2 linked regions of the Kluyveromyces lactis genome follow. The protein of the gene in region 1 binds, or shares a complex with, the protein of each later gene. Links are inferred from orthologs where the notes say so. Each region holds a gene or a part of one and is shown on either strand. Other genes may lie near its edges.

Region 1 (4,304 bases):
CAAATGCCCACATTCTCTTTTCGATGGACTTGCATATATCTAGCATAACTTTTGAAAACGTGCCCCATCTTCTATTAATACCAATTAGAAGTAATGCCCTACATATTCTTGCAGAATTCTGAGCAATGTAATTTGCATCTGAATTTAGTGCAGAGTCATTAATTCTGCTTTGAGAAACATACGCTTGTAGAAGAATATTTGTCTTACCAGGTGAACTGTCGACGTCCCCAGAAATCTGACATTCAACGGCACAGTCAAGAAGTTTATTTAATTCATTAGATTCTTCTTCTCTGAACTTGATGGAATCGAATTCGCTGCTCATACTAATCATGGCTAACACATCTGCTTCAGTAGCCCTTGGATTAGCAACTTGGTTAAAGATTTCGACAGACTCATTAAGTAAATAAAACTCGGAAGCAATTCTTCCCAAATCCTTTGGAATGAAATGCATTGAAACTTCATCGAAAACAATCATTTGTAGAGAATGTAGACGACGGGCGGCTGTTATGATGATTTGTCTTCTCTTCTCGTACAATTGCGGATCATTTCGGATCTCTTCCCAATCAATACCATAAGTAAAAGGATTCTGTTTCATCCTGACAAACATGTAAGTATATCCTAACCACTTCACACCTTCCTCAACGTTCGTGACTGTTCCAAGAGATATTTCGGCATTCAAGTTGTCGACAACCTTAGCACCTAGTCTTGATTCAATAGGATGTTGTTGCGTGATTAGGTCGACATAATGATCTAAACGGTCGTTTGAAGTACATAAGTAAGCAGTACCATAATCAGAACCAAACCCTGGTCTACCAGCACGACCGAAGATCTGAATAACATCTGAAATTCCAAGATCAGTGTAACCACCTTTCTTGGAGTCATAAACCTGGGTTCCCTTGATAATGACACAATCAGCAGGTAAATTGACACCCCAAGCTAATGTAGCTGTACAAACAAGTACATTTACGGCTCCGCTTTTGAACATTTTTTCTGTTATATTACGATCTGAACGTGACATACCGGCGTGGTGAACACCAAACCCTGATTGGAATAACTCCTTAAGATCTTTATCTTTATGTTTGGAAAGTTCCTTTTGAAATATTGTTACGGAAGCATCGTTACTTGTGAATAAATCCATCTCATAATTGTCTCTTGCCATACTTATAAGTGTTCTGGCAGTTTTTACAGTATCCTTTCTTGAATGCACAAAGATCATCACTTGATTACCAAGTTTCATCATTTCTACGGCCTTCTCGTAGGCAACTTTATCGGTATTTTCTCTACATTGCTTACTTCCTGCTTTTCCTCTGCAACCAATCAAATGTTGTTCTAACGCTTTGGGCCTAAAAGACTGGTCGAAATAGAACATCCCGACATTCCTGTTTACACCTAAGAAATCAGCAACATCTACGAAATTCGGTAAGGTAGCAGATAAACCTAAGATACGGATCATGGTCTGCGAACTTTCTACCTGTCTTAAAGTACGTGCCACCAAACTTTCAATGACTGACCCTCTATCTTCATGTAATAAATGAACTTCGTCTAAAATTAATAATTTCACCTTTGAAGTAAGGTCATTGTCACCACTTGCTTTACGTGTGACCACATCCCATTTTTCAGGTGTTGTAACAATGACTTGAGTTTCAAGAATCTCTCGCTTCGTTAGTTGCATATCACCTGTAAGTTCACGAACCTTGACATCAAACACGGATAGCTTACGAGCAAACTTGTCAGTGATTTCAGCTGCTAAAGCCTTAAGTGGAGCCACGTAGATAATTTTGAAATCATCATATTCAATGTCAAACCCGCCTTCTTCATTTATGACGGAGAATTGTTTGATTGTATTTAATATAGTCAATAAAGCAATATCGGTTTTACCTGCACCAGTTGGAGCGCAGATCAACATGTTACCATTTGTATTGTACGCTACCGGGTAAACCAAGGACTGTACCTTATTCAAATAATCATACTCGAATACTTTACGGCAGTATTCATCCAAATCACTGACTTTGACCAATGGAATATCGAATTTTCTTTTCGGTACAGCGCATGGAATTGTTATCTCTTCATGTGTTTGGAAAGTATATCTCATGCTTCCAGCTGGTAATGCAAATTTTTGACCTGCAAAAGAAAGCATTGACGATCCAGCATCCTCCGACTGTCTAAAGACATGTGGATACTTTACTTTTCTTTGTGCAGTAGCCAATTTAGCGTTTTTACCTTTTTCCCTATTCTTGAGGACTTGTCTTCTCATGTCCTCTTCGGTCATGAATCGGTTTCCCTCGTAAGTATCCGAATTAGACATATGTTCAATCGGAGTGTGTTTCAATATCTCTTGATTCTCAATTAGAAACGATATCAGCTCGATGTTTTCAGCACCTAGGTAATCGAAGAGATCTTGGTCCGCAGTTCCAGTATTTTCATTGTTCCTCAACAACTCGATCAACTGCTGTAGTAGTTGATCTCGAGGGAAATCAGAATCAACATTATCAAGTAGTCTGAATAGCTCTTTGTATACTTGTGCTTGTGCATTAGAAGCTGAATGATTGGATGTAATCAACGATTGTAAGTTATCAGATGAAAGGTTTGCAAACTCTTCAAATATATCATCCCATTCATTCCTATCCTGAGAAGTTACCAACAATTTATTTCTATTATCACTACGCTTAGTACCCTTCTTCAATTCCTCATCGACCTTAGGGATTGTGCTTGTATCTAGATGAGGGAATGCCTGAGCTGCTGAAACCATTACTTCCATCGCCTTCATATAAGAGCCCACGGAATGGACTGAATAAGTCGTACTCATCCTGTACAAAGATTAATATTATCAACCCTATAGCCAAACTACAGTATAACGACTGTAACGGTTTTCCAATATGGGCTTTACGTTGATCTTCTTGTGTTAAAGTCAACTTAAAAGGTGTTCTTTGCTAAAGATTACGAATTATGATTCTTGTGCACTTTTAACAATGCGAAGAGATGAGCTATAAAAAAAAAGGCTACTGACTACTAGTATTAACTATCCATAGAAACGCTATTGGCCACTCAATTTACCTATTCTCACCTCTAGATCGTTGAGCTGTAACTCTAGTTGATGCCTAGTCCGCTTGAAGGATTGTTCTCTGTCGGTAAGCTGTCGTGACGTGGATTCTAAGAGCGATGACCATTTTTCGATCTGAGAATGAACTGAAGACATATGATCGTTAATCTCAGATACCGTATCGTTCATGTCATTCACAGAGGTATGTAGAACGTTTAGCGACTGTACACGTTCTGTGATTTGTGGAATCACTTCCGAGTACTTGTTTAAGATGTTATACTTATCGTAAATGTCATTGACCTTAGATTCTGTAGATTTTAACTTCCTTTCGATATCAGTAGATAGATTTGGGTCTTTCTGAGCTCTCCTTCCGATGATCGACTGGTCATACTGATCACTTATCTCTTTCATTTTATTTTGGAATCCAGTCAACGTCGGTTCATCCAACTTGAGGATATTAATCTCTCTGTGAAGTTCATTGATGATTGACGTTATCGATTTATTCGTATTCGAGGGTCCGATTTGTGACTCCAATATGGAAATCTTATGCTCAATATCCTCCAGCTGCTTCAATTGGTTGATTTCTATCCTGATGTTTGGAAGTGTAACCTCATTTTCTGTATCCTCGTCTGATGCTATGACCAATTGGCTTTGTATGTTTTCCATTGTACTTTCCGTAGACTGAGCCAACGTTTCATACAATTGCTTCAAGTTCTGTAATTCGTTTGAGGAACCATCCTCCTCGGAATCCTGCTCTATCTCAAGGAGCTCCCTCCGTATCCTTGCCAGCCTCTGCCTTCTTGTTTCATTTATATGTCTGATATTATACGTCGGCAGTGCGTATAGTTTTCCTGAAAAATCGGTATCCTCCGAACTTAGCACAGAATGCTCGAACCTTTCGTTATTCTCTTGAACCTTAGGTATTTCCTCCTCAATTATATCTTCATTTGCCTCGGTAATCACTACTTGGTCTGGTGTTTCTTCAACATCACTGGTCTCATACACTTCTTTCCCTGTATCGCCTTGTAACCCTAATTGTTCCACCTCAGTAGATAGATCGATTATTTCAACAGCCATGAGTTATTCCCGGTCTCTAGTTATGAATGTGCGCTAGTATGTCCCATATATCGGTCCCTAATCGGGTTGTGATCTTTAACTGTTCAATAGTTAATAAGTTTCATAGATATGAAACCTTAGAATCGAATTTAGTTCTTTTCAATCAATACACTACAATATATTACATTGGGAAGTGAAAATGGAGTGA
Region 2 (3,592 bases), on another chromosome or scaffold:
GAGCTTGAATTCTTAGCAGCAGACTCCAGAAAAGATGTGTACCAATTCAACGGCAAGGGACGCTTGTTGAGAAAGATTGCCAAGGGCGACATTACTGGTTTTGCATCTTGCATTGCTGTTACCGATAAATACTTACTTCAAGGTGGTTTGGACAGGTATGTTCGTATCTTTGATTTAGCCGATTATAAGCTCCTGGCAAAGATATTCACAGGCGGTAAGGTTTCTGATATTATACTCTTAGAAGACAATGACTTGGAATTACCTTTAACTGAAAAGCAATTGAAAATGAAGAAGAAGAAGGAAGCCAAAAGAAGCATCGTCGAAGCTGATGAAGATGCTGAAAATGAGGATCTTTGGAATAAATTAGAATCCAAGAAAAGGAAAGTTTCGAAGAATGATATTTAAAGTAAATGCATTTCATAATATCTACAGATAAATAGGAAGATACAGGATAATCGACTTCAATTTTCGTAAATGTATCTATACTGGTCTAATGTTCATCATAAAACACCACTTTTAGCTAACTTTTTATCGTGTCCCGCTTTTCTATTATGATTAGCACGACTTGATTTTAGTTTCTCGTTACGAGCATTTTTTCTCTTTTGTTGTTCTTTGGTAAGAGGTTCTTTGGTAGTAGGTGTTTTCTCTCTGCCAGAATCATTATTACTGTTAGTGTTAGGTGAATTTACGGTGCTGTCAACTACATGATGATCAAAACCTTCTTTATCCTCTCGTGCTTTTGTAAACGTCTTCTTGCCTTGCCGAACGTTCCCTTTGAAAATATACTTTTCTTCTAGCAGTTGTGCCCTCTTTGGACTCTTCTCAATCATTCTTGACCAACCTTCAATTTGTTCGTCAGACCAGTTAGTCTCTTTCTTCATTTCTTTCCGCTGTTTCGAGCCCCGTTGCTGACGGGAGAAAAGATTTTTATCCCTTTTCAATAATTCCCATAGATATCCTTCAATTTTATCGTACTTAGATGTGCCTGGTGTTATGGTTGATACCTTTGCTGTGTCAGAAGTATCGACGCTTACACGATCTGCAGAAGCTTGCTTAACTTCTGCATCGTCGTAGGTGTCATCCCTTTCATCTTCTGTGGCATCATATAGAAGGGATAAAGCTCTTGATAATGTTTTGTTTCTGACAGCATCAGGTACGTCGTTTGTAGGGAATAACATGTTTTTCTTTTCAATTTTGTCCTTCGGAGTGATGGCTGGCAATAAATTCTCCTTCGGCTTATGTTCCTCCATCAGGTTTTCGGTCGTATTCTGTATTTCGTCATCCTGCAGTGGCCCATCTTCGAGTGAAGATATCACAGATGGATTTTCAAACAAGTTATTGATTATAACTTCCGTGTTATTATCATACCTCTGCAATAATTTTGTTATCTGGTTAGAAGTAAGGTCCGGAAATAGTTCCTTGATTGTGTCTATTTGTTCAACATTGACACTAGGCATTAGCAGACCGCTTAAATGGGGAGCTGCCTTCGGTTCCTCTTGTATATCCAAAAAGGGGATTTTAGTTTTAATATGTGGCAACTTTTCCTGAAACCTGGCATCAATTAGAAGTGACCCTAAAAGTGGATACATTGAAAGTGTTCGTAAGTTCGTTATGCTCATTTGCTTTAACAAATCAGCCAAATGTGTGACGCTGCAGGACAAAAAGCTTAATATTCCAAGTTTCTTTCCCCAATCTGATAAATAACTCCCTGGTTCCTTGCCATACATTGACTCTAATGTATCAACCCACTTGGCAGACACAAAATTATCTGTAAATGAACTCTTCGCCTTATCATCAGCAGCTAAAAGCAATTCCAGAGACTTTAAATCCACTCTACTAAATTTATTGGCTTCTATCAAATATCTTATATGTTGCTGTATCTGGTACGTCCTATCCAATTGTGCTTTCTGAGTATTAATGGTCGGTCTTAAAGATCCTTCGATCAACGATCTGACAGTGGTTGCATTTCCCTCGACGTAGGACCGTGTTATGTCCCATAGAGACTCTGTATTCAACTTCAAGTATAGTAGCCCACAGCTTTTAATCAACTGTAAAACGTAAGCTCTTAAAAGCTCTAATTGCTTCAAAACATCTGCATTAATTCCCAAAGAAAGAAGTTTTCCTTCTTCTTCACTCATTTCATGCACATAAGCCTTAACGAAAATGCATAGATGATCAATGGTCTCATCACTGAGAAAGTCTAAGTTGTCACCATGTAATAAATAACTCATATGTTGCACATAAACTTCCAGCAAATGGAGCCATATCACCGGATCTTTCTCAACCATCGCCGCACGTAGCTTAAAAGGAGGGAACTTAACGATCGCCAGAGATATTTTCTCTTTGGCATTTATCTCCAAAACCCTCTGGTATCTTGTAGTCATCGTTTTCGTTGATTTTCACCTGTTAGATGGTAGTTCTGAGCATGCCTGAATGCTTCAAACATGATCGAACCATATCCATCAATCTCTCTGCATTTCAAATCTCTTCTTGCTCTATGGTGAAATTTCAAAAATCTTTCAAAAATGATAGACCCTTAAAGGAATTCGTCAAATCAAGCAAAGATAAATAACGAAGCGATAAAAATATTCAGATTAGCAGTGTTTTCAATGGCAAAGGTAACGACAGTAGTGCACTGTCACCACACTGATGTCTAAGTTCTATGAACTACCGGGTTCGCACCTTCCGTCACAATCAGAGCGCTCACCGTTGCTTAAGAGAAGGTCGAGTTTAACGTATTTCAAATATCAAGACACACCGTTACAACAAGAACAATCTTCAAAATATGATCTAGAGAATCCCCATAGAAATAAATTGGGAACATTCGATGGAGTATTTATACCCACTACGTTAAATGTGCTCTCAATTTTAATGTTCTTGAGATTTGGTTTCATAATAGGACAGATGGGTATTTTGGGAACATTTCTATTGTTAATCTTATCTTTTATCATTGATGTATCAACCACATTGAGCATTTCAGCTATATCGACCAACGGTACAGTGAGAGGTGGTGGTGCATATTACATGATTTCACGATGCCTAGGTCCTGAATTTGGAGGTTCTATTGGTCTTATCTTTTTCATTGGCCAAATTTTGAATAGTGGTATGAACATAGTTGGTATCGTGGAACCGTTGTTATACAATTTTGGTATCTCGGAAGGTGTGCTAACTCAAGTACTTCCAGAAGGGCATTGGTACCAATTTGGATACTCTACGGTTTTGCTTCTGTTATGTCTGGCGGTGGCTATGATTGGTTCACAGACTGTCTCGCGTGCTGGTAACGTTCTATTCTGGTTGCTATTGGCTTCTACAATCTCGATTCCTATCTCTGTTTTATTTGTGAAGCCTTTCGAACTTAATGGAATCGTGTACACAGGACCGTCTTTACAGATACTCAAACAAAATCTATATCCGAAGTTTACAAAGGGTGCAGCAGGCTCGGTGTTGAAGGGTTACGAAACGTTCAATGATCTATTCGGGATTTTTTTTCCAGCTACGGCAGGAATATTTGCTGGCGCCGGTATGTCCAGTGAATTGCGTAAGCCTTCCAAATCCATACCTAAGGGAACCCTTTGGGGCCTTCTGTTAACCT

Evidence for each region. Proteins that work in one complex are often made in the same cells at the same time.
Region 2: SLH1 (region 1) and CUE3 share a complex: the UniProt entries of both Saccharomyces cerevisiae proteins name them as parts of the RQT (ribosome quality control trigger) complex. The link is inferred for Kluyveromyces lactis from reciprocal best matches to the Saccharomyces cerevisiae genes SLH1 and CUE3.

Annotation. Positions count from the first base shown.
Region 1 is NC_006037.1:863,924-868,227, reverse strand, and holds the start of SLH1 (RNA helicase), read right to left. Parts: upstream 2,807-4,304; coding exon 1-2,806. Other genes in the region: JNM1 (Jnm1p), read right to left, coding at 3,035-4,117. UniProt on the Saccharomyces cerevisiae protein: Involved in activation of the ribosome quality control (RQC) pathway, a pathway that degrades nascent peptide chains during problematic translation.
Region 2 is NC_006042.1:973,511-977,102, reverse strand, and holds CUE3 (Cue3p), read right to left. Parts: upstream 2,385-3,592; coding exon 501-2,384; downstream 1-500. Other genes in the region: ribosome biosynthesis protein NSA1, read left to right, coding at 1-405; VHC1 (Vhc1p), read left to right, coding at 2,650-3,592. UniProt on the Saccharomyces cerevisiae protein: Involved in activation of the ribosome quality control (RQC) pathway, a pathway that degrades nascent peptide chains during problematic translation.